3 linked regions of the Daphnia pulex genome follow. The protein of the gene in region 3 interacts with the protein of the main gene of each other region in a biochemical or structural test. Links are inferred from orthologs where the notes say so. Each region holds a gene or a part of one and is shown on either strand. Other genes may lie near its edges. The genes, in order: serine/threonine-protein kinase fused-like, suppressor of fused homolog and zinc finger protein GLI2-like.

Region 1 (7,817 bases), on a different chromosome or scaffold from region 3:
GCCCAGAAGATTCTTCCGAGTTCTATTGACGAGAAGAGAGAAAAGAGATTGGGACCTGTACCGCACCTCGAAAGCGATAAGCTATCACGTTATTCTTCTTCTTCTCTCCTTTCTGTTGTTGTTTGTGTGCTTCACCATCTTGTGGGAGTGTTTCCATCTCTCCTATCAGCATTTATTTATATTTCTTCTTCTTCTTCTTCTTCTTGTCTGTGAGATATGCTATACCTTCCGCGCTTTCTTGTGCTGGTGCCGGGCCGATTCCTCAGCTTATTCTTTTTGGAATTGAGCCCACGATGCTGAGACTGCTGCTGGGCCTCGCCCGGCTCTTTCTCAATGGAGGTTGGAAAAACGAGCGCGCGCAAAAATAAGAGGCTCCTCTCTATAGCTAGCTGCCAAGAATCATTTTCACGATCGAACATCAGCAGTGAGCGGCGGACTCTGCCCCCCTCGCGGCTCTTTTGGCCGCATCGCCAATGAGGTGTTTGAGCTCGCACGTGCATACACACGGCCGGAGTCTGTCATCCATCGCCCGCCACAGACCCGAGCGCAAGTTGTGCAATATACCATCTCTTTCTCTCTCTTTTTTGATCGGCCCGAGAGAGTCTCCTATTTTATTTTCATGAATGAACATTTCCAAATAGCCTTGAGCACAATTGTGGGTGATCTCTCTCTCTCTCTCTCGTTCTCCTGTATATACGAGCGCGCCCCATTCACTTGCCGTAAATTCAATCACGTCGTTTTTTTCCTTCTTCTTCATTTTATTCAAGGATGGTCTTCCTGCAGTCTCCATTTTTGATAATATCTATAGTACCTGTTTGGATCTTTCTGCGTGCGCGCGTCCGGTTTTTGTTTTTTTCAATTATTATTATGCTGCTGGGCGAGTGCGATTCAAAAGATCAGATATATTTCACGAGATCAAACGGTAATGGGAAATGTCAAGCAATAGAAATGGCACTGACGATAATAGATCGAAAGATAGACCAAAGTAAAATAAAACAGGATTTGCTATTTGGGAGGAGTGAAAACGGAGGTGGTTCATTGTTTAGTCAACCGAAAAATCCGGCGTTGTCATGTAATGAGCCTTTTACGATTGTTGTGTTGTCGCCCCTCTTCCGATTGGAGGCAGAATGGAAAAAGCTTAGCAAAATGTGGCCATCCGTCATGGAGTTGGGACGGTGAAAATAAGTTGGTTTTGGCTATTTTTCTTTATAAGATTCTTTTTCGCGAGTTTTTCTATCGGCGGTTGGCCCACTTTGCATAGTGCTCGTCCATTCAGTTTCCGGCCCGGGTTTTATGGCCGCTCAGCAAACGATAGGCGAATGTGGCACTCTGTCGGGGAGAGAGAGAGAGAAAAAAGAGAAGGGGTTAAATCAGAGAAAAAGATAAGCGAAAAAGAATCGGCTATAGGCTAGGCCTTCGAAAGAAAAGATGTTGGATATCCCAAACTTGGGGGTACAGACCTGCCTGACCCGAGGATCGCTATCTGCTAGCAATTGCTCCACGCGCTCGACGACGACAGGCTGTCTGCTCAATTCCTTGAGCTTGTCAGTGCCCCTGGGCGAAACGAGGCGAGAAAGAAAACAAGAGAATAGGAACATCATTCACGCTGTTTGCTGCAGCTGACGTCATGGGAAAAAGCTGTTGTATTTTTATTGTATTTCTTTTTTTCTTTTTCTCTTACCTGAGAGACAGGTATCCTATGAGCGTACAACACCTGGACCTAATCATGGGGTTTCGATTCGACAACAAACGCACCAAATTTGTGTCTGTCATGTCGCACAAGGGTAGAAAGAGATGGTGAGATTAGCCGTTCATTTTCTTATTTTTCAAGGCAATTGTGTGAAATGTAATACCTCTTTGAGTGAGAATATCTTGGACGACGCTAACGTTCTCGGCTCGAGTGCGCAGGACGTGCGACAGGATGGCCAGAACGTGGCCGACTGCATGGGCTTTGCGACGATCGACAGACAACAGGTGATGAATGGCGGCCGCGCAATCCAGCACGCAAACAGCATCGCAGAATTGATTGATGAATTCTGTTGTGAATTCAATCGGGGGGAAAAAAAGGGAAGGAATAGAAAATTAAAATAATGATTAGCCACCCCCACTTTCGTTTCCAGTTACACAAGAGCTCGCGATGAGTGATTACCTGCGGTCGTACTCAGGTGCACCAGACGGGCCATCAAACCCAGCAGCATTTCTAAGGACTGCAGATCGTCGGCCGTCAATTCGGCGTCCGTCTTTTTACTGTCGATGCTCCTGTTTTTGGGCACAACCCAAAAAAAAAAGAAAAATAGAAAACGAAATGAAATCACATGGGAGAATGAGAAATGGAATTTAGACTGTGACAAATAAACAAAAAGAGGAGTTACCCGGTGCTACGGTTATCGCCAGATCTTCTCTGAACCATTACTTTGCAAGCGTACAAGAGATTGGGCACGACGCGGGTGTCTGCGTAGGCGCGGACGATTAATTCTTCGTCGACTGATTCCTCGCGGTCGATTCCAGCCCAAGGCAGGGCCAGCAGAGTCGCTATACGTTCGACTAGGCTCGGGCTGGCGTTGACGTTGCGTAACGGAGCCACCACAACGGCGACGAGATCCCTCTGCTCCAGCGTCTGCGGATTCTCTATGGCGTCGGCCAGCGTTCCGTCAAGAAACTCTTCCCATTCGTCGTTTTCCAGAGATTTCGACAGCAACGAACCGGCGGCGGCGGTTGCGGCGGCCGCAACTTCGCCAGTTGTCGTTTCCTTGGCCTAGAATGAATCAATCATCATTTGGTCAATCCTTTCTTCTATGATAGGACTGCACATCGATTTTTACCTCCGTTTTGGGCTCGATGGAAGGTGAAACAGTTTCTTCGACAGTCGGCTGGTTGTTTGGCGGGTTGGGCACGGCTGGCTGAATGAGGGAGAAATGATGAGCGTTGGTGCCAGGATCGAGGGGATCGAAATCGGCCACATTTTGTTTGGTCGGCCATCTGGTCGTTTCTAAAATTCTTTCCAGCAATTGCTGCCTCTCACTGATCCGTGGATCGATGGCAGGCGGTAAACGGTGGGTGTCGACGGCTGCACTTTGGCGACGCGTCCAGTCTCCAAATGCACTATTCGACCAAAATGATAAAGTTTTAAATTTAAAAAAAAACGCGACTTTTAGAAATTCTGTTTAAAGTGACGTACGGATTGTATTGGGTGCTGTGGAAGGCGGCGGCGGGATGGGCCAGCAATTGTTTGGGCTGAGAAACTGGAGCGCTATTTCGGCGTCGTTCGTACTCTTCTAATCTCTGAAGGGCTCGCGTGAAAACCCTTGTAAAAGAACAACCAATAAATTTCAGTTAAAGGATTGGATAAAATAATCAGCACGACAATGTTCACTTGTTTTTGAACGGCATCTTTTGGGAGAGATCTTGTCTTTGAATCTCTTTGGCCAGTTCCTGCGAAGCCGTCAAGGCAGTCGTTAAGGGAAGCTGAGGTCTCACTAGAGAGAAGGTAAAGAGGGAATCAGTGAAATTTGTTACCTTTACCAGAAAAGGAACATTGTATTGAACATACGTCTTTCAGGTGGGAGCAGAACTTTGTTCTCCAGGAAAGGATGCTCGAGCAAGTGAGGCCAAGTTAGCCTGCGGCGAGGATCTTTCTCCAAGAGACCTTGAAGGAGGTTGAAACAATCTGGGCTCAGATTTGTGGGCCAAGGCACGGTTTCGTAACGAATTTTTCGTATTAGTTGCAATAAAGATGTGGTGCAAAAGGGTGGCGATCCAAAAAGGAGCTCATACAAAATGCAACCTAAGGACCTGTTGTAAAAATGAAGGGTAAATCAACAAATCTTTGAAGAGACAATATCTGCAATAAAAAATGTACCATAAATCTGCATTATGATCGTATGGCTTTTCCTCTATGATTTCTGGGGCCATGTACAATGGAGTTCCTTTGACAGATGTTAGCACATAAGTGTTGAGGTCCATGGATCTTGCAAATCCAAAATCGCAAAGTTTAATGATGCCATCACTTGTCAGCAGTATATTCTGAGGTTTGATGTCACGGTGTAATATCCTGTCTGAATGAAGGTAGTAGAGAGCAGATAGCAACTGGCAAGCAACCATTCGCATTTTGTCTTCACAGAGTGTCCCATCTTCCAGTAGTTTGTACAAGTCACTTTCAACATACTCAGTGACAACAACTAGCTGGATGGAGAAATAAATCGTTAATAATCAACACACAAAACTACAACAAATAAATTGTGAAATTTCTTGATTACCTCTTTAAATGTCTCAAAGGCACCAAGCATGTGAACAATGTTTGGGTGACGCAAGCCTTTCTGGATTTCAAACTCGTGTCTCAAGCTTTGCAGCTCACATTCTGTCCTACCAATCTACAAACGCAAAGTATAGAATTTGTTACAATGAAATGGAAAGGAATTTATTTATAACACTTACTTTTGGAATAAACTTGAGAGCAACCAAACCTCTCAAGTGTCTATGTCTTGCTTTGTAAACTCTTCCAAAAGATCCTTCTCCAATTTTTTCTAATACCTCATAGTCTTCCATTTCAACGCACTTTCAACTCGGATTTATTAGATAATTTGAATGTTAAGAAACCACAATAAAGCAGTGTCACTTCTTTTACCGCTGTTAAGAAATGGATATAATTGTAGTGATCATTACGATTCTTGGATTTTAATCAGAAATGAATTGTCTATAAACAAAAGAAGCCATCTAGCGAAGCTTAGACTAACAATATTCCCATGTAAATATCTGGATCAGAGATGGCGCTGTATTTTCGAATAAGGCCAACTGGCAAGGTGATGAAAATGATTCCCGAGCCAGATAGACATGATTAAATCTGACGAAGTGGTGAACATATAACACAGGGATAACAATGATATATTTATAAGAAAATTCCATAAGAGTATAAATAACTAAACAAGCCAGTGCGCTGTGCACTGGACCAAAAAGTGCAAAAGCCGCGAAAAGCAGTAAAAGAGACAGTACGCACGCGGTATGCTACACGCCCTACGAAGGTGGAAGATATATGGGCGTGAAGAGAATTTAAAAAAAAAAAAAAAAAAAAAACACACAACAAAGACCGGTAAAACAACCGGAAATGAATGTGTTGAAAATTTACGTTATTCCCATCACCGAGATGGTACAAATCTATCGATTCCCTATTTTTTTAAAAAACATATTTTATTTAGCTACAAGAGTGTAAAGATAAGAGTAAACAAAGAATTAAATATAGAAGATGAATAATTCCGGTAGGTATTTAATCAAGATTAAACTTTTGAAATGCTTTGCATGGACAAATGAGGTGTAGCTAATGATTTGGATATCGTTGTTGATAAATATTTGGTAGCAGAATAGTCTCTGACGACGGAGGTGGCTTCCTATAACCGTGGCAATGACGCGCCGGCAGTCAGAGTTGGAAACCTTGAATGCCAAGCTATTTTTGACTTTCTTCCAGAGGAATATATAAAGTTTAAATCCGTGACGTCTGAGAGAAAGGCCAGCTGCATTCAAACACGGCACACACAATAAGCGCGAGTGTTGATTTTGTTCCTGCGAAACTACATCTCGAGAACTCGGATGGGTTTTTGATTCGGTAAATTGACAAGGAAGTATTCAGTTCATTCAACTCTAGGCAATTGAAATAGTTGCATGCTCAGGCAAAAAAACAAACTTGTTATTATTTACGATACGTTAATCTAGTAAAAACTTTATTTATTTTGTTTCATATTTTCTGATAGTTTACTGTAATCTACTGAACGATTACTAGCTATTATAGTACACCTCAGTTGATAAAACTTTTTTTTTTTTGTTTGCACGGGTGTTTACATGATGTTATTTACCATTAAAATCCCGTTGGCTACACCTTCCGAATGCCTTCCAATGAAGGCCAAATCTATTCATGCATGTCTAGATTGATTCTCACTGACGCGCTGGCGGTGTCTCACGGGGGAGAACTGCCCCGGTACAGGGAAGATACGACCAGCAGGACGAGCTCGACGATATTTTTGGGATTTTGCTTTTTGTCAGGGGGTGCCGTGTGAATCGCTGGCAGATTGCCGACAATTCCAGCGGCCCATTCCTATCCTGTTTGTCGCACTGCTTTGCTCTTTGGTGTCTATTCCGGCGGGGCGAACGGACATCATCATCGCACAGTGCGGCGTGCGGTCCGCCTTTTCCATCTCTCCGGGAGTTTATATACGATTTTTCAGTCGATTTTTGAGTGTGGGGATCGTTTTATCCGTTTCCGCAATTGGCTATCTCGTGTCGAATCTATCCCATGTCTCCTGTGAGTGTCAAATGAAATGAGGGTACGTCAACGCTATTATTTACTACTTCAGACCACCAGCATCAGTTATACTTTTGATTGCGATGCGAAACAACTAAACCAATTCTTTGCAATCAATTTTGTGTCAGTTTTTATGGGGGAAGTTGGTGTTGGTTAATTTTTTGAAATTAATTTTGTTTCTATGCTGTGGGAATTATTTAGCAAATTACGCCGGCTAGTTCCGAAAATAAATCTGCATCTGCTACCAACGACGCTGCATCTGCTGAACCACCTCCATTACCCACAACCCAACCACCGCCCTTGGAGGACGAATACGAAGACATAGAATACGGGACTGGGCATAAAGCTACGTTCTCAATTCGATTTGGTACAATTTATTTTTATTTTTGTATGCACAAAATGGTTAGCTCAAACGAAAAGCTATTAATCATCCACTTTGGTATTTTCCAACACGTTGTAGGTGGAAAAATGGAGCCGAGAAAAGGCGATGGACGTCACTGTGAACTTTGTGGATCCTCAAGTCCAAAAGTTCGGTGTGAGAAATGTCTCAACCAAATATTTTGCTTATCCTGCGATGACATGTATCATCGACACCCTAAAAGAATGAATCATTCTAGAAAAGTACTTCCATATTTTGAAAAATACCCTCAATGTTATAGATAACGAAAGAATTCGTCTTTTCACAGGCGCTGGATTGTATAGTCCCGACAGTTAGACCACCACTGCCACCCAAAAATGCCGATTCTTCAATTCCTCCACCACTACCCCCACCACGTAACAAAGGAAAGAAAGGCCCATTTTCTACCCCATTATTGAGCCGAAAAGATTTTTCGGTAAGTTGTTGCTTTTTACGTCAAAAACAATGTTGTTTTGCTTGACAACAATTTTGTTCCTTAGACATCGCGCTTAAATGTTTTTACGACTCCTCTGCTGGGCAGGAAAAGCGGAGGATCGAGTTCTCAAAATCAAGTATCATTTACATTTCTATATCTGTCAATAAGGTTATAATACTAATTGGGCCTTTTTACTTTTTTAAGCCGCCGCCGATGACACCCTCCACGCCTCGCAAGGAATCCTTCATGGAGAAAATGGGATCTCTCAAGCGATTCATGGGTTCTAGGCCTCTGCCCTCAGCCCCAGACAGCAAGCCACCAGGTTGTTGATTTAATTTGTCTCGATATGATGGAGAAATAATCAACATTAGATGGCCGGATTAGAGCAAACCAACGAGTACCGCAGTCAAGGCAACGTTGAATCGACCATATTTGACCAAAATTTGTTGTAATTTTTAACAAGTAAAATTTAAATTAAAAATCAAAAACATGATTTTTAGATTTTTTTGAAACATGTCTTTGATTTTTAATTTGAAATTTTGAAATTAAAAATAGAAAATGTTGGTTACAACTAAATGACGATGTAAACAAACTTCGGCCAAATATGGCCGATGAGACGTTGCCTTGGCTGCGGAATTTGTTGGAATGCAGCATGGTTTGCACTTTGCGGTTTGCTGATTTGCTCCAAGTTTCAA
Region 2 (7,528 bases), on a different chromosome or scaffold from region 3:
CCGCTGCTGGCATTTTATTCACTCGGACCAGAACCAAATCGTCGATTGATTTTGGCTAATAATTAGTCCGCAGAAATCTCAAAATCCGAGAGAGGTAAGCACGTGCCCGATTTCACTTGACACTCACGCACATGGTACACACACCAGCATGTCGGGTGCACCTGCATCCACACACAAAAACACGTTTCTTGTAACCAGAAGAATTTGAAAAATAAAAAATAATTTTTCAAGGGTTTCACTGGCACACACGCTCTCACTGCGCTGGTTGTTGTTGTGTGTGTGTGGAAAAATAAAAATAACGTTTGGCGCCAATCGTAAAAATAGTTTGGGAGTAGGCGACGGCCGCGACCTCACCGCACGGAAAGCTTCAACTAGACTGAAGCTCCTCTAGCGGCACTACTCAGCAAAAGTCTAGTGTGTGAAAAAAGAACCTCCTTCTTTAGGGGGGGGGGGAGGAGGGGCTGAAAAAAAAATCGTCGTCTGTTAACTATCGATAGATATCGCTCACAAAAAGAAATGAAATAAAAAAATGTTTTGGAATAAAAAAGAATTGAAAAATAAATGAAACAAAAAAATTCCAGAATGGGGAAGCCAAAACACGATTAACACACACATGTTTAGTTTTGTTTTTGTTTTTAATTTTTTTTTATCATGTCAGATCTGTTTTTGGGTTATCATTTTCAATAAAAGATGACCTAAGAAATGTGGTGGACACCTGCCGAGTACATTTCCAGTTGTCGCTAAATTAATCTTAAAGTCAGCCAACGAAAAAGTTGCTCACCAGTTGGTCGTCTAAATTTACAATGGCAACAAGACACCTTCTTCTTCTTCTTAAAAGTCTTGCGTTTCGTCTATAACGCGGTTGTGTGTTCTCCCAAGGTTAAGTCTGGCCGACCCGGAGAGACGTGTACTACGTCGGAAAACGGCGAGAATGAGAGAATCGACGGTAAAAACAAGTGGATGGAGGAACGACCAGATGAAAATAAGGATGTCCTGCTGCTGCTGGCCAAAAGGGAGGAGGAGGACCGACCGACTCTACACGCATCTATTTTCAAAAAAAACGAAATGGCGTCGTCTTGTTTTTCTTTTTTTCCACCCGTCAAGTGCGTGTATATGTGCGTCTTTATAAGAGATGAGCGACATGTTTTTTTCTCTCACGACACACAACCCAATTTTCCCTTTTTTGATGGTATGTCCAACATTTTCCCGCGGGATTAAAAAATGCGAAAAACATAAAACAACTTTTTTCTTTTATTTTAAATAAGGAAATTCTTCTTTTCTTACGAGATGATTGGGTGAGAATCAAGTTCATTGTTGACTCTTAAAGTCTGAACGCGTAGAAGAAGAAAAAAAAGGTCGGAGGGGCCCCCGCGTGCCGCCCGCCCCAACCTCCCACTTTCTTTCCACCCCAACGGGAGGAGGTGGCCGCCCTCCTGCCGGGAGTCGGCCATGTTCTCTCCCCCCTCCCTTCTTTCTTTTTCTCTCAGCATCCGCTCTTTTTTCTTCTTCTTCTTCTTCTTCTTTTCCTTCTTCTTCTTCTTCTTCCTTCTTTTCGTTCTTGATAGGCTCTCCCCCTCCCCGTCTGCGTTAAGAGCACCAGGGTTCGTTCGTCTGTACGTGTGTGAGAATCAACTCCCCCTCCTCTTCTTTTTTTTCTCTTCCTTCATCATCGGCGCAGGGTCCAGGGAGACTGGCCCGCCAGTCCGATCGATGCCGTGAACCTTTTTTCTCTTCTTCTTCTTTCTACCCTCATCCGACTTTTTGGCCTTCGTGAAAAAAAAACACAAAATTCCCTTTTAGCTCAGCTGCTAAATGCAAACAACAATGAGTTTTGAAAAGAAATTGTTGTTGCATCACGCTGCTCATTTTCCCCTCCCGAAGGCCAAAAGATGAAAACTAACAAAATATACTCTGCGTCAAAAAAAAGAATTAAAAAAAAAAAGAGATGACCACTGCGCTTTTAATTACGCTTGAGAGGACCCGGCCGCCGCCACCTCCGGTCGCTTTTCCCTGCGTGAGCGGCCGTGTATCCAAAAAAAGCGTCCAACGACTAAAAGGCTGTGCTGGGAGAGGAGAACTTTTTCAAGGATTCGGCTGCTGCCCAGTCCTTTTTTGCACGACAGCCAAAGGCTTTTAAGAAAGAAATAGAAAAAGAGTGTAGACGAAATGAACACACAGATTCGACACCTCGTGTGTGTGTGTGCCTTTTTCTATAAATAGACAAGATTGGAAAAACGCATTTTTGGCAAGTTTTCAACGTCATTATAATTGCAGCAAACACGCAGCTTCCGTCAACATCCGCCCGAGATATTTCGTTTTGTTTTTTTCCAGAGAAAAGGAGATTCACGCAGGTCAGGTTCCATCCCACGCGCGAGCACGAGGAATAATAATAAAGGCACGTGGTTACAGTTTACAATTGTAAAAAAAGAAAAAGAATAGATAAAGAAAAGGGGTGGGAAAAAGAAGGAAAACAACATGAAAAAAAATAAAAGAAGAAAAAAAAGTTGAGAAAGACAAGACTTTTTTTTTATACAGTCGTCATAATTCATCGGGAACTACCGTCAACGCCATCTGTCGGTCGAACCAGCAAAACGTTTTGGGAACCACCACCTTTTTATAAAATAGGGGAGAGAGTAAAAAAAAATTGTTTTGATTATTACACACACAAAATTGGCAATGCATTCGAGATGAATTTCATCAAAAAGAAATATAATCACCCCATCGGGCTGCTGGAGGCAAGCCAAATCAGATTCTAGTTTGGCTAACCACTCGGAATCGACGAGGATCTGAAGCCAAGGACCTTTGGCTACGAGAGGAGCTGACGGTGAAGCCAATGCACCTCCCACTCTGCCCGTCAGGAGCGTCACCGCCGTTTCGCCGGCCACTGCTTTGAAGGTAAAATGCCGATCGTGTCGAAGTCGTCCCCTAATAATAAACAATTTAGAAAATAAGGAAAGACTGACAATGGAAATCAACTGGTAGGGTTACCGAAGAACGACGGGCAGGAGGGAAGCAGCTTCCAAGTTGAGCGTCAAATGGACACCCTTGTAGAGTCGTCGAATGGGCCAGATTTCGCCGTTGATGGTTGGTTCACCGTCGGCCGGTCGATGACGCCCGAGGGTCGCTCCAGCTTCCGGTTCATCTTCTTCGTCATCCTGACTACTAGAGTCGTCCTCAGCTTCCGGACTCCTCCAAGCCGAACCAGTTTTCGAAGTGACTTTTCTCTCCTCCCAGTGGCAGCGAGCGCTGACGCCCGACAACGAGCATCCGTCACGATCGATCCCTAAAAACATGGAAGCAGAATATACATCGGATTCTCTCTCTATAAATAAACTTTTACAAACGGCTCCTGTGAGGAGCGGCGCAACTTTTTCTCCTTACCATGTTCGACTTCGCGGCGGAAGGAGGGCTGCAATTCAAACAGCGATAACTGACGCTGCATGTCGGCAACAAGCCAAGGGCCTCCGGCACTGTGTAAAAATGGGCAAATCAATACAACTTTTTTTGTTGGCTATTCTCTAGAGTTATTGTGAAGCGGGGGATATTACGAGGGAACTCGTCGCAAAAGTTCCAACACGCTAGTTCCATTCCAGTGCTGGGAAACTTGCAACTCTTCCTCCGTAACGGCGACGACTTGCAGAAACTTGACGGAACCTAATGGCCCTTGGACTGGCGGTAACAAAAGATCCTCCGCCAGGAGCATGTGTTGCAAGCGACATTCAAAATCCGATCCGTCCAGAGGACAATGCCAGGAGACGTGGTCACCAGCGAAGAAAGAGTTACCAGTGTGGAAAACATACTTGGCAAGGGCCTGTAACAGAGCTGCTGGCCATGTGGGTGGTGTGGCTTCACCAGACTTTTTGGCTAGGCGGAAAGTCAGCTCAAAACCAAAACCACTGGGAAACTCTGGTCCTGAAGGCTCGTGAACTCTGCCATCACCGTGCAAGTCTGTCAGGCCAAAACTGATGTGAAACGAAATAATCAAGTCGTGCTTGGTAACAATTTAAGTGTCAATGTATACCTGATATAATGCCAATGTGGAGGGATGTGAAGTTCTGGGATTCCAGGATGATCATACATGCTTATATAGTCTAGAGGATCTGGACCACCAAGCCTGTAATTCATAATCAGGGTAAGTATTCGCAGCAATTGGGCACACTCCCAAGTGTTGATCGGACATCAGCAAGGTATCGAGTACTCACCAATATTTGATGAACGCTGTCACTTGCAATGGATTTGGTTGAAGAGGGTACACTTGTTTACATGATTCATACAATATTTCCAATCCCAATGCTGAAGAAGAAAGCATCAATTGTTGACCGTCATTGGGACCAGATTCGGGACCAAAGTTGCTGGCAACACTCGCCACATTTCCCGTTGCACACGTGTTTGCGACGACATGCATTTGTGCTTTCTGCATTGTTGTGTCTTTTATTATCACAATCTACTAATAAATAACAATAAATGTCAATCAACTAAACCAAAACTTCACTCCATTTCCAAACAATTGTGTATAGCAGAGGAATTTTTGTAACAATGCTTCGCCACCAGTTGATTTGGCAGCACTAGTTACTAATGTCATCGTTGATTTTTATCTTTTTAGTGAAATTAAAATTGAAATAAAGAAGACTATCAGGGCAGCCTTATTTTCATTTTTAGGGATAAATAAATTCTATAGTATTATTTACTATACAAATTATACTGACTTTTTAGCTAAGTGAAATTTATTTTTCATCATTCAATCAATAAGAGACATCTAGGAGTAGAGCCACAGGCTATTGCGACGTGTCATCGATCGGTCTGCTAATATTTTTATTTACATTCCAACTATACAAAAAATACCACCCACACGCACACAAAACCTACTCCCGTTCTCTCCTTGCACAATCACACCAATGGCTCATTTCTTTTAAAAGTTTAACATTACCAACCCTCCTTTATTAGTGCAATTTGTGAATAATGGTGCAGCAAACTAGTATCCCAGTAACAGAACAACACGAAGTAGACGAAAATGAAACAGTAAATGAAAAGTTGCGACTCGTTCCCCACGATGACGAAGACCAAGGTATAAAACTGTCGATATAGGAGCATCCTTTACCCGCATGTGCAGGGTTATGTTGTCCTGCATGTTGGTTTCCTTATCTACAAAGGAAACTTCAAGTGACTGCTTTGTTAACCACAGACAATGTTTCTAGGAGTTGTTTTACGAGTGTTTTAATACTTTTCAAACTTCTTGCATTCCTAGATAGAAAATATTACAAAAGAAATACATTTTTCTATTACTAACAGGATGCTGGGGGACTAGACATACCCTAGTCTTGCTAGGATTCTTGGGATTTGCCAATGTCTATGCCATGAGAGTGAATTTGTCCGTGACGATCGTAGCGATGGTCAATCAGAGCGCTATCCCACACATCAATCAAACCGCGGTGGATATCTGCCCAGAGACTCCAGGAGAGAGCCAATCCGGAATAGTAAAGGTAAATGACTCTAAAAAAAATGTCAAACATAATTGCAAAGTCACTAGGGGATCTAAGACTAGTCACCCTACTCGGCCCCTTGTACGCGATGCCCCTGGGTCTTTTCTTCTGAGATGATGGATTGGAAGCTTTCGCTAGACTTTGTTCATCCTTTTCCTGTCTCTCGTATTCTATCTCCCTCGTTCTCTCTGAGAGTTAATCCTGTCACGAGTCTTGGCTTTTTGTATATAGGCACGAAAATGGTCTGGAGCAAATGGCCGCGTGTCTGCAGTCTGGTGCACAGCTTAAGCCCGTCTATTTGTCATTCCCCGTCAAACATAATCCCATGCGAAACTAATGATCTTCAACATTTTTTCTTTTCTTTTTAAAAAGGACGGAGAGTTTGCCTGGGATGAATATAAACAAGGAATCATCCTGGGTTCCTTCTTCTGGGGCTACGTTTTAACGCAGATCCCTGGTGGGAGGTTGGCGGAGCTTTTTGGCGGCCGAAAATTACTTGGTTATGGCATCCTCAGTACTTCACTTTTCACTTTGTTGACGCCGTTCGCCGCTCGAGCAAGCGACACTTTGCTGATCTTCTGTCGAGTCTTGATGGGATTGGGAGAGGTATTACGATATTATTATAAAAAGGCGCTGCTAGTGCGCCACACTGGGAAACAGACATGGTGCCCTCCGCATGCCGAATAAATCCTTAAATCTAGCGAATAATTGACTGTTTCAACATCCATTAAGGGTGTGACGTTCCCGGCGATGTACGCAATGCTTGCCGAATGGGCTCCACCGTGGGAGAGAAGTAAAATGGCCGCTTTCGTTTTCACAGGTACGTTGGATTTTGTATAATGTTCATCGTGAAATTCTTTAAAGTTTATATTCTAATTTCTAGGCGCACAATTTGGGACTGTAATAACACTGCCTCTTTCGGGAATTCTTTGCGAGCACGGATTCGACGGCGGCTGGCCAACAGTGTTTTACGTATTCGGGACTTTGGGTATCGTCTGGTTCGCCGTTTGGATGCCCCTCACTGCTGATTCTCCATCTCGACATCTCAAAATATCCAAAGAGGAGAAAGATTACATTTGCAGTTCTTTGAAAGACTCCATTAAAAGGGTAATTCTTTATTAGTTTTAATCAAAAGTCGACTGGTTGATTTTTGTTCCTTAATATAGAAAAGTGCTCCCGTACCGTGGCGATGCATGTTTAGATCAAAAGCCTGCTGGGCTGTAGGGGCGGCCAATGTTGGTCACGCCTGGGGATTTTACACGCTGTTGACTGAACTACCGAGTTACATGGATAATATTTTACATTTTAACATGAAACAGGTACAAATAAAATTTGAAACAAGGCCAAGTGAAAAAGTCACTTAATCCGTTTGATATTTGAATGAATTTTACAGAATAGTTTCGTGTCCGCTCTTCCCTACTTGGCGATGTGGCTTTTCTCGCTCCTTTGCAGCACAGTCGCAGATATTCTCATTTCCAAACAAATATTTAGAGTTATTACTGTACGGAAGATATTTAATTCTATTGGTAACTATTTTTAAAAACGAGATGTTCAAGTTTAGTTGCGAGATTAATTTCAAATTTTGCAATTATAAAAGGCCAATACGGACCCGCGTTGGCTTTAATTGGTGCTGGATTTATTGGATGTGATACTGTAGCTGCCGTAATTTTACTTACTTTGGCAGTGGGACTTAGTGGTGCTTCTTATTCTGCTTTTCAAGTACATTCTAAAACAAATAATTCAGAAATAATTCAACTCATTAAACCCCTTTCATTATGAAAAAATCAGGTGAACTTTGTCGAAATTGCACCACCTTACGCCGGAACTTTGTTTGGTGTTACCAATGCAGTGGCCAATCTCTGTGGATTTATGGCTCCTTATGCTGTGGGTGTGCTAGTTAAAGGAAACGTGAGTTTTGATTATTTTTAAGACCTTTCATACCTTTAAAGCGCACTAATCCAATTTCTACAACTCCTGGTTACGGCAACGGGGAAATTTTCGAGCTTCACTGTTCGCAAATGCTTCGCAATTTTTTCTTATTAATTCAC
Region 3 (7,785 bases):
TGTGTATATCATCGCGTGATGCGAGTGTGGGTCGGGATTGTTTTTGTTGCGACGGTTCACCGCCTTTTTTTCCTCCTGAGCTCCGCATAATATTGCTGAGAAGTAACAACAACAACAACAACAAGAACAACAGAACGTCGGCATACGGGGCCGCCAGTCACCGGCGGCGGCAACATCATCACACGGCACTGATCTCGTCTTGTGTTTTGAGCCGCACCAACGAATCACGACGCAGACCATACACCCCATCCACACGCATCAATCAATCAAGAAAGTGCAGCCAGAAAAAGAAAGTCATTTTTCTTTTCTTTTTCCTGTTTCTCAGACACTGGCTGACGTCGACTCTATTTAAATACAACTCAAACAGACCGCGCCGTTTGATCCAATAACAACACAAAACAGTCCAAGATGGGACTTACCCGAATTGGGATCCATGGATGCGGGAGAATAAAATCGGTCGGGAAACCCAAAAGGAAAAATTGGTCCAACAATTGCGCGGGGTGGTAGGAAACTCGACGGTGGTTTCAATGACTTGATGGTGAAATCAAGACGTTTGTGCCGTGGCTGCAGTTGCTAATGTCGGCATGACGATGATATCCGCCTCCTTTTTCCATCTATTCTCTCACGCCGTGAATCTCCAAAGGCGATGAGGAGGACCTGCGTGAGTGGCTGCCCTGTTGTTGCTGTTGCGGCAGCAGACCGAGAGAGCGATATATACCTGCGCATACAGAAGAAAAGATTTTTAAAAAAAGAAAGAAAGAATGAGCGGTCGAGACGTGATGTTCAACCATTTTTCACGAAAGTGGAACGTACGAACTACCACAGCGAATCGCGCGCCATTTTACGCAGCCGTAACATAATACAACCAATTGCATCGAAAGATGTATTTGAAATAACCTCTGGAATCTTATGACTTATTGAAGTTGCCAGTGGAGAGATTTGCCCGGCTCAGAGAGCTGCTGCTAACCTTTTCCAAAAAGAAATGAAAATGTGTAAAGTGTCGATAAGCTGAGCTCCTTCTAAAATGTTGATCTTATCATGAAGGCATTAAGTGCCTTCACGGTTCTTTTTCTTAATAGACTCGCAACGCTTTTTTTTTTATTTTTTAAAAAACATTTTTCACCTTTTTTTCTTTTTGATGGGTGGTGGACATTTTATATGGTCGCCACAAATAATACCGGACACATTTTCAAAGTGTGATTTTTTTTGTTTTTAGACATTTTACTATTTAACATTTTTAAGTGTGTGTGGCCGGATGTGATGAAGAGATTTGGAGAACCGTCAAAAGTCCTTCACTTTGAATTTTTCATTTGAAATCAGCGAAGCGAAATGTGTCGAGCAAAACGGAAATCTGCAGTCCTGATGCTATTTTCTAAAGCCCATACTTATGCCGGAAGAAGAAGGAATAAACACTAAATATATATCGTCCGTCTGCTGTGTCCCTCCCAAGTCAACAGCATATGTGTTTCCCCAAAAAATGAAAAACCCTCCTGCTGGGCTGATCTTTGACCTGACAAGAAGCCGGGCTTCAATTTTCTCGCTCACTCGAGTCTTGGACTCGACGAATTGGAATTTAATTCACTGGCCACTTGTACATTAACTACCCCTCTATACCAATTCAATTTCAACTTTCACTTTGACTCTACTTCACTTTATTCTTACTTATTCTTACACCATTCTTGTTGGTTCAAAATGTCAAATGAAGTGAACGTTTGCTTAACCAAAAGTGGACAAAATAATGCTTAAACACTTATTATCTATGAACTACAATAGATCCTAAATAAAGAACTTACTCATTTGGTTAAAAATTTCCAATATGGTCCATAACACCTGAATAAAAAACCGCGAAAATGTACAACCTGCTCCATGACTCCATTGAAGAATAACTGACAAAGAGATTCCCGAATCTGAGCTGTGTTGCAATTTCTAAATTGCTAAATTTAATTTTTCTCGAAGATGAATAATTGAATACGTGTGTACAAATATTTTTTTTAATAAAATGTTTTTAATTTAATGGCTATAATTTCAAGATTGCGAGTCAATTATAAAATACTTTAATTAATTAAAGTCATTAAGTGATCTTTGACAACGTGGGTGGGTGAAAAACAATGGAGTGGGATGGGAAGTGGCAACTGCCAATCACAGACGACGAATGTGAAATTCGGTGTGTTCTTTTCAAATTTATTAAATAAGTAGCCGATTTCAATGAAATTTACGCGTAACACCAACTACATTAAAATACTTAAGTTTATTTATTTCACTTCGGTCAACACTAAAGTATAGTCAAAGTAAAATAAAATTGGGTTAAAAGTACACATTTACCCGCTGGCCTATACCGCCCGTGTATTATTATTATAAGTACTTTTGAGTGTCGTCCACTACTTTGCATTTTTACCCTCAGAAAACCAAAAAAAAAAACCCTTTTTTTCCTTTTTTTAAACTTTTAATCCGCTGTGTGTATTTGGCGGATGGAGGGAATTCCGCATGGGGTCAAGTCAACGGAAAGGGAAGTCTCCCACTTTTTGATAAATGAACTCCCCCCCTTCCACCCCCTTAGCAGAGGTATACAAAAACGGCCGATTGATCTCTCCTCTGGCGGGTCAGGAGAATTAAAGAAGAAGAAGATAAAAGGTAAAAAATAAGGGCGGAGCACATCGTGTCACTTATACACACTCTCACCAAAAAAATCCATTTGGATTTCATTTTATCTTCTTCAAATGTCTTTTTGTTCCGGAATCGGAATTAATCCGAAAAGCATTAAGAAGAAAGTGGATGGAAGCGAAAAAATGAAGTGGCCCCCGTACTATACTATATAGAGTGTCGTAAATTGGTCGAGGAATTTTATATAAAGATTGTGCGCATATCTAAGTAGATGTAGAGTAGGTGCGACGTTGGCTACTGCGGCGGCAGCAGCCAGTTTTTCCTCCGGTCGTAAAAACGGAAGAAGAAACAACCCAAAAGGAGAGTATACCGAATGTACAACAACGGAAAGCTTTCGTCACTGCTATAAGAAAATTGCGGTTTCGTCTGGGAATCTATACGAGACATTGAAAGGTGCAGGACACTTTTCCTAAAGTATAAAAAAGAAACAATTGACCAACTTACTACGTCTTCCTAGTTTTTATTTCTCGACTATTAAAATCAAGTGCTGGGGAGTGTATCCGACATTATTTTACCGCTTGTGGGTCTCGATGAATAATAAAGAGTATTACATTCTCTTTTGAATTTGTATACAAGTTAATTTAAAAAAATAAATAGGCCATGGATATTTAAAAGACAAACAATTTTGAGGTGGTTCTTAGCAATTAGGAAGGAGGGAAGTCCCCTATAACGTGAATGCCGGAACACGGCCAGCGCTGTTGACCAGCAATCGGAACAAAACTACCGAGTGTGGAAAGCGATTGTGTCATCACCGCAAGCCGGAAACTACTGCGGTGTGGCCTTTTGTCACTTAGTTGGAAGCATTTTGTTTCTTCGTGGTTTTTTTGGGAATTTATTCTTTTTTTCTTGTGGAGGTGTGACGGGACTTATACCGAGCGTGTGGTCAGCGTTACGACCGCACAGTCCCCCCCCCAAAAAAACTATATAATATGTAGCAGTACAAAACGAAAGTGTATTAGAACGACAGCGGTCGTTTTTTTTTACAGGTGCGTCTTCCAACAGGTGAAGAAAAAAAAGACCCATTAGATAATTGACTGTGCGAGCGTGGACAGGTCGAAATAGAGAGAAAATGGAACTGCTGTAAGGATAAATGATGAGACAACTATATATCCGACGCCTATTCAATTTTTCTTTTTTCTTGAAGTTATTTACCATCAATTGAATGGACTAAAGCCGATATATTAAGTGTCGCTGTGTCTAATCAATTTGCCCGGCAGATTACGTCTACAGGTGTTGTTGGCAGGCACACACACACAACCTTACAGTAAAAGAAATTATCCTTCGTTGTTGACGGATCAACTTACCGCCCAGAATGCCGTTGATGGTATCTCTTCAGACTGTTGTAATCCACCGTATACTACACACGTCTTTTTTAAACTATACGATAATGTCGTACCGTTGGCTCAAGTTCACTAAACACTCGATGGCTGGGCCCGGCACTTTAGCGCCAACTATTCAAGCCGGGAGGAGAATCACGACTCGATTAAAAATGGAAAAATATTAAAAAAAGATTGAATGAATCCAATCAGATTCTGCGCTGCTGCCGTGTCTAATGAGCTGAAATCTAGGCTACGGAGCGATTAGATTACGTCACGTTGTGGCTCCCATTGCCGGCGGTAATGCGATAAGGTAGACACTTTTGTTTCACGGGAGCTCGAATGTGTAATATGTGAAATAATTAAAAAAGGAAAAGAAGAAAAGTCTTTTGACGCCCGATCGAATCTCGGTCGATCGTCGGGAGAGGCTTGTGGCACTGGTGGACACGAATTGGCTCGACACTTTGTAATATACGACACACGCAATTGATATATTTTTCTGGCTACTATTAAACGAATCGGCGTAAAAGGGCAAAGAACACGAATAAAAAGAGACGAGAGGCGACAGACGAGACACGAGAAATCGTCGAGACGGATGTCAAATCGAAAAAAAAAGGAAACAAGAAGTAAAAACAAAATAGAAAACGACGAGAGAGAGAGTCTCTTCTTTCTCGAGTTGAGGTCGGGTTCTCGGTCGCGTCTCGGGGTCGACACGATCTGCGGAACTTGCGCGAGATGGGGAAAAAAAAACGACACAAACTGTGCGCACAATCAAAAATAATCTGATCTTTTTTGGGCGGGGAGAAATGGCGACGGTGAAAAACTGAATGGGAAAACGCGCAAGAGCGAACGTAGAAAGAATCACGCCACTGCCTTCAACTCGGCCCGACTGGGGAGGAAGGTTTGTTGTTGTGTCTTTCGTGAAAACGGTTGCCCGTATAGCGTCCAACAGCAGCAGCGGCGGCGGCGGCAGCAGCACCCGGCAGCTAGAGTCGTGCTGGACGATAACACCAACAAAAAAAATAAGAATTATACACGAAAAACCAGAAAATGGTTAGTGGCGCCCAGCGTTGCCACTTTTCCATTCACCATCATTTCTCGAATTAAAAAAACAAAACAAAATTCCTCGACACTTAATTTCCTTTTTTTTCTTTTAACATTTATTTGATGTTTCTATATTTTACCATAGTTTTTGGCTTGATTGTCTTTTTGGTTAAATTCCTTTTTTCTTTTCTGGTTGCTTGGTGAGACTGGCCTTCTCCCGCGGACGCGGACCTGATGGAAGAGCCTTTTTGGGGTGTTTGGCGGCGCTGGGGACGAGAGTCATCGACTCGTCGACCGGTTATCTTAAGGACGTCTTGATTCTCCCGATTCCTCGACTGATATTCTTCCACCTTTTTCTTGTCGGGCATCCTCATTTGTTTCCTTCTTTTCTTTTCTCCCGAGGAGAAACAAATATAAACGGACGCCTCCTCCCCTCATTGGTTGCCTCCTTATCCGAATGAATGACGGCAGCCTTAATGTCATTTAAGATAATGAAAAATCCCTTTTCTCACTTTAGAAGATCTTTGGGGGAGAAAATCATTTCCTTTTATTTTTTGGGAAAATGAACGGCGGGACAGTTTGTCCTTAAACGCCAAAGAGGCGGAGGGACTGGCGGGGACGAGTTGTTTGGTTGCAGCAGCAGCAGCAGCGATGAGTAAGGCGGCGATCGAGTTCTTGTTTGATGTGTCAGCAGCTTGTTTCTTTCTCTCATCTCTTTGAGGGCTGCTGCTGCTGCTGCTGTTGAGCCATCAGCTATTTTCCTAAATGGCGGATCACGTCATCAGGATAGCAACTGGCGCAGCGATACGGGGAAGAAAAAAACCTTGGCACATTAGGAGAGAGGGGCGTGAATTCCGAACGCAGCGACGACGACGACGACTATAGTAGAGGACGACGACGGGATTTGATTACCGCCGAGTTGGCTGGTCTGTCTGTTAAGTGAAACCGTCGCCACTGCTGCTGCAATAATAATGACTCGATTGCATTTCGCATATAATAATCACTACACAACGGTCTCTAATGCGCGCAGACAGCAAACAGACACAGCAAACGGGCGCGGTTTCCTATGGCGCCGGAGCTGGTTGGCACCGGCTGCTGCTGCCGCTGCTGCTGCTGCTCGTATGTGTAAATATGTGTGTCCGATTAAAACGATAGAAAATGTTGTTCTTTTCCATTCAACCAAAAACAAAACAAAAAATAAAAGAGAGAGAAAGAAAGAGAAGGCCAAGATAAGATGACACCAAAAGACCATAATAATAATAATAATAATAAGCTCCGGCTTCTTCTTCTTCTTCTGGCTTGCACGCTGTTGCCAATGCGTGTCAAAAAGGTTTGTTTGTACCGCGGGCAGCTTTTTGATATCTCACAACTCCCCTGCGTTCAGACCAAGATCCCGAATTGTCAGCAAAAGAAAACTGAACCGCCGGTTTCAACTAAACACCCAACAACATTTGACACACACAACAATGTGTGTGTGTGTGTGCGTGTGTGTGTGGTTCTCTACCGACCCAAAGATATGCAACACACCCACAACAATCAGAGAGCCATTTGAATGCAGCCATGACTCGGATCATTAGAGACTCCCGGGTTTTTTAAAGAAAAAAAGGAAAAATCCAAGAAGAAGAAAATGGAAATTCATTTTTTTCCCTACTGTCAAGACACCAGCAAGTTCATACATAAACATTACGTCAGCAGAAAAAAAAGAAAAAAGAAAAGCGATTCTATTTTCACGCAGCACTTTTTTTTCTCTCTTCTCTGCTGGGCGAATGAATAAAAAAAATATCTACGAGTCTCTTTTTCTTTCTATCGTGTGTGTTCAATAAGATAGAGATGCGCCGCTGCGGCCCACCTTCACGGCGCGTATAAACAACCGCACACAAGAGAAAGAAGCGGGGCGGGCGGGCGGCTCGCGCGCGTTCAGACCCCCACACACACGCTATATAATATGTGTAGCCGTGTGGACTTGTCTGCTGCTATATAGCAGGTTGATGCCCACAGTAACACCCAGCGCCGAGAAGAGATCGGCTCAAAAGATTCCACATTACCGGCCCTATTGTCTTGTTCTCTTGTATCTCTCCTCTTGTCTCTCTCCCGACTCTATTTTTCTTTCGATTGTATTCGATAGAATTTTTTAGTTTGAAAAGAAGAAAGAAAAGAATCGGCTCCTCATTTTATTTCATCTTTTTTTTATCCTTTAAAAAATAATAAATACAAAGAAACAAAATATTAAAAAGAAAGAAGAAAAATCAAAACGAAGGAAAACAGAAAAGGCAAAATTGATGGATTGATTTTTGGCCTCCAGTCGATCACTGCACGATTTCCCATCGGTTCGTGAACACATTTTTCGGGGGGTTGTTTTTTTCTTACGTTAAATGTTTGAGTCTCATCATTTTTCGTTGGCTCCAACGGAAAATCGAAAGCCAATAACCCACAACACACGGAAAGAAGACTCTCTCTCCGAGACGCGTGTTATACGTCTCTACGCAGCGTCTATACGTATCTATACTCGATAGAATGTTACATGTTTAATATAGAAATACATCGTCAATGCACACACGATTGATTTTCGTGCGTCATCGTCGTGTCTATACTATGCGGCCGCCCCCTTCCGCTATGGGGATATCGAAATGGAAGGGAGACGGGAAAAAATGATAAGGTCCGTCCATCCGTCCGTCCGCGCGCTGTGCATTTTCGATATCGCGGTGGCTGTAATTGAATTGGGCACAAGTCGTCGGTAAGACATTCACGATTTTTCAAGCCTCCG

What was found.
Region 1: the proteins of zinc finger protein GLI2-like (region 3) and serine/threonine-protein kinase fused-like form a complex in vitro, tested with the Drosophila melanogaster proteins (2 studies listed by BioGRID, with this or other methods). The link is inferred for Daphnia pulex from reciprocal best matches to the Drosophila melanogaster genes ci and fu.
Region 2: the proteins of zinc finger protein GLI2-like (region 3) and suppressor of fused homolog form a complex in vitro, tested with the Drosophila melanogaster proteins (2 studies listed by BioGRID). The link is inferred for Daphnia pulex from reciprocal best matches to the Drosophila melanogaster genes ci and Su(fu).

The regions. Positions count from the first base shown.
Region 1 is NC_060025.1:6,990,174-6,997,990, forward strand, and holds serine/threonine-protein kinase fused-like, read right to left. Parts: upstream 5,066-7,817; 5' UTR 4,546-5,065; coding exon 4,435-4,545; intron 4,371-4,434; coding exon 4,257-4,370; intron 4,183-4,256; coding exon 3,860-4,182; intron 3,793-3,859; coding exon 3,551-3,792; intron 3,477-3,550; coding exon 3,374-3,476; intron 3,305-3,373; coding exon 3,179-3,304; intron 3,103-3,178; coding exon 2,823-3,102; intron 2,756-2,822; coding exon 2,373-2,755; intron 2,260-2,372; coding exon 2,150-2,259; intron 2,037-2,149; coding exon 1,854-2,036; intron 1,767-1,853; coding exon 1,682-1,766; intron 1,555-1,681; coding exon 1,461-1,554; intron 1,330-1,460; coding exon 1,273-1,329; 3' UTR 883-1,272; downstream 1-882. Other genes in the region: E3 ubiquitin-protein ligase lubel-like, read left to right, coding at 6,306-6,311, 6,491-6,656, 6,750-6,910, 6,976-7,122, 7,187-7,258, 7,327-7,444. UniProt on the Drosophila melanogaster protein: Probable serine/threonine-protein kinase; maternally required for correct patterning in the posterior part of each embryonic metamere. May be involved in control of cell division during metamorphosis and ovarian development. May interact with costal-2.
Region 2 is NC_060019.1:8,215,799-8,223,326, reverse strand, and holds suppressor of fused homolog, read right to left. Parts: upstream 4,569-7,528; 5' UTR 4,421-4,568; coding exon 4,203-4,420; intron 4,115-4,202; coding exon 4,022-4,114; intron 3,963-4,021; coding exon 3,549-3,962; intron 3,471-3,548; coding exon 3,382-3,470; intron 3,284-3,381; coding exon 2,989-3,283; intron 2,926-2,988; coding exon 2,718-2,925; intron 2,611-2,717; coding exon 2,539-2,610; 3' UTR 2,248-2,538; downstream 1-2,247. Other genes in the region: zinc finger and BTB domain-containing protein 4-like, read right to left, coding at 1-13; putative inorganic phosphate cotransporter, read left to right, coding at 4,960-5,065, 5,290-5,480, 5,853-6,086, 6,213-6,300, 6,364-6,587, 6,647-6,799, 6,874-7,006, 7,078-7,199 and 1 more.
Region 3 is NC_060017.1:6,836,738-6,844,522, reverse strand, and holds the start of zinc finger protein GLI2-like, read right to left. Parts: upstream 4,973-7,785; 5' UTR 3,966-4,972; intron 1,889-3,965; exon of another isoform or gene 1,794-1,888; intron 719-1,793; 5' UTR 436-718; coding exon 420-435; intron 1-419. UniProt on the Drosophila melanogaster protein: Has a dual function as a transcriptional activator and a repressor of the hedgehog (Hh) pathway. The full-length ci form (ciFL), acts as an activator (ciA) while ciR, its C-terminally truncated form, acts as a repressor. Involved in segment polarity.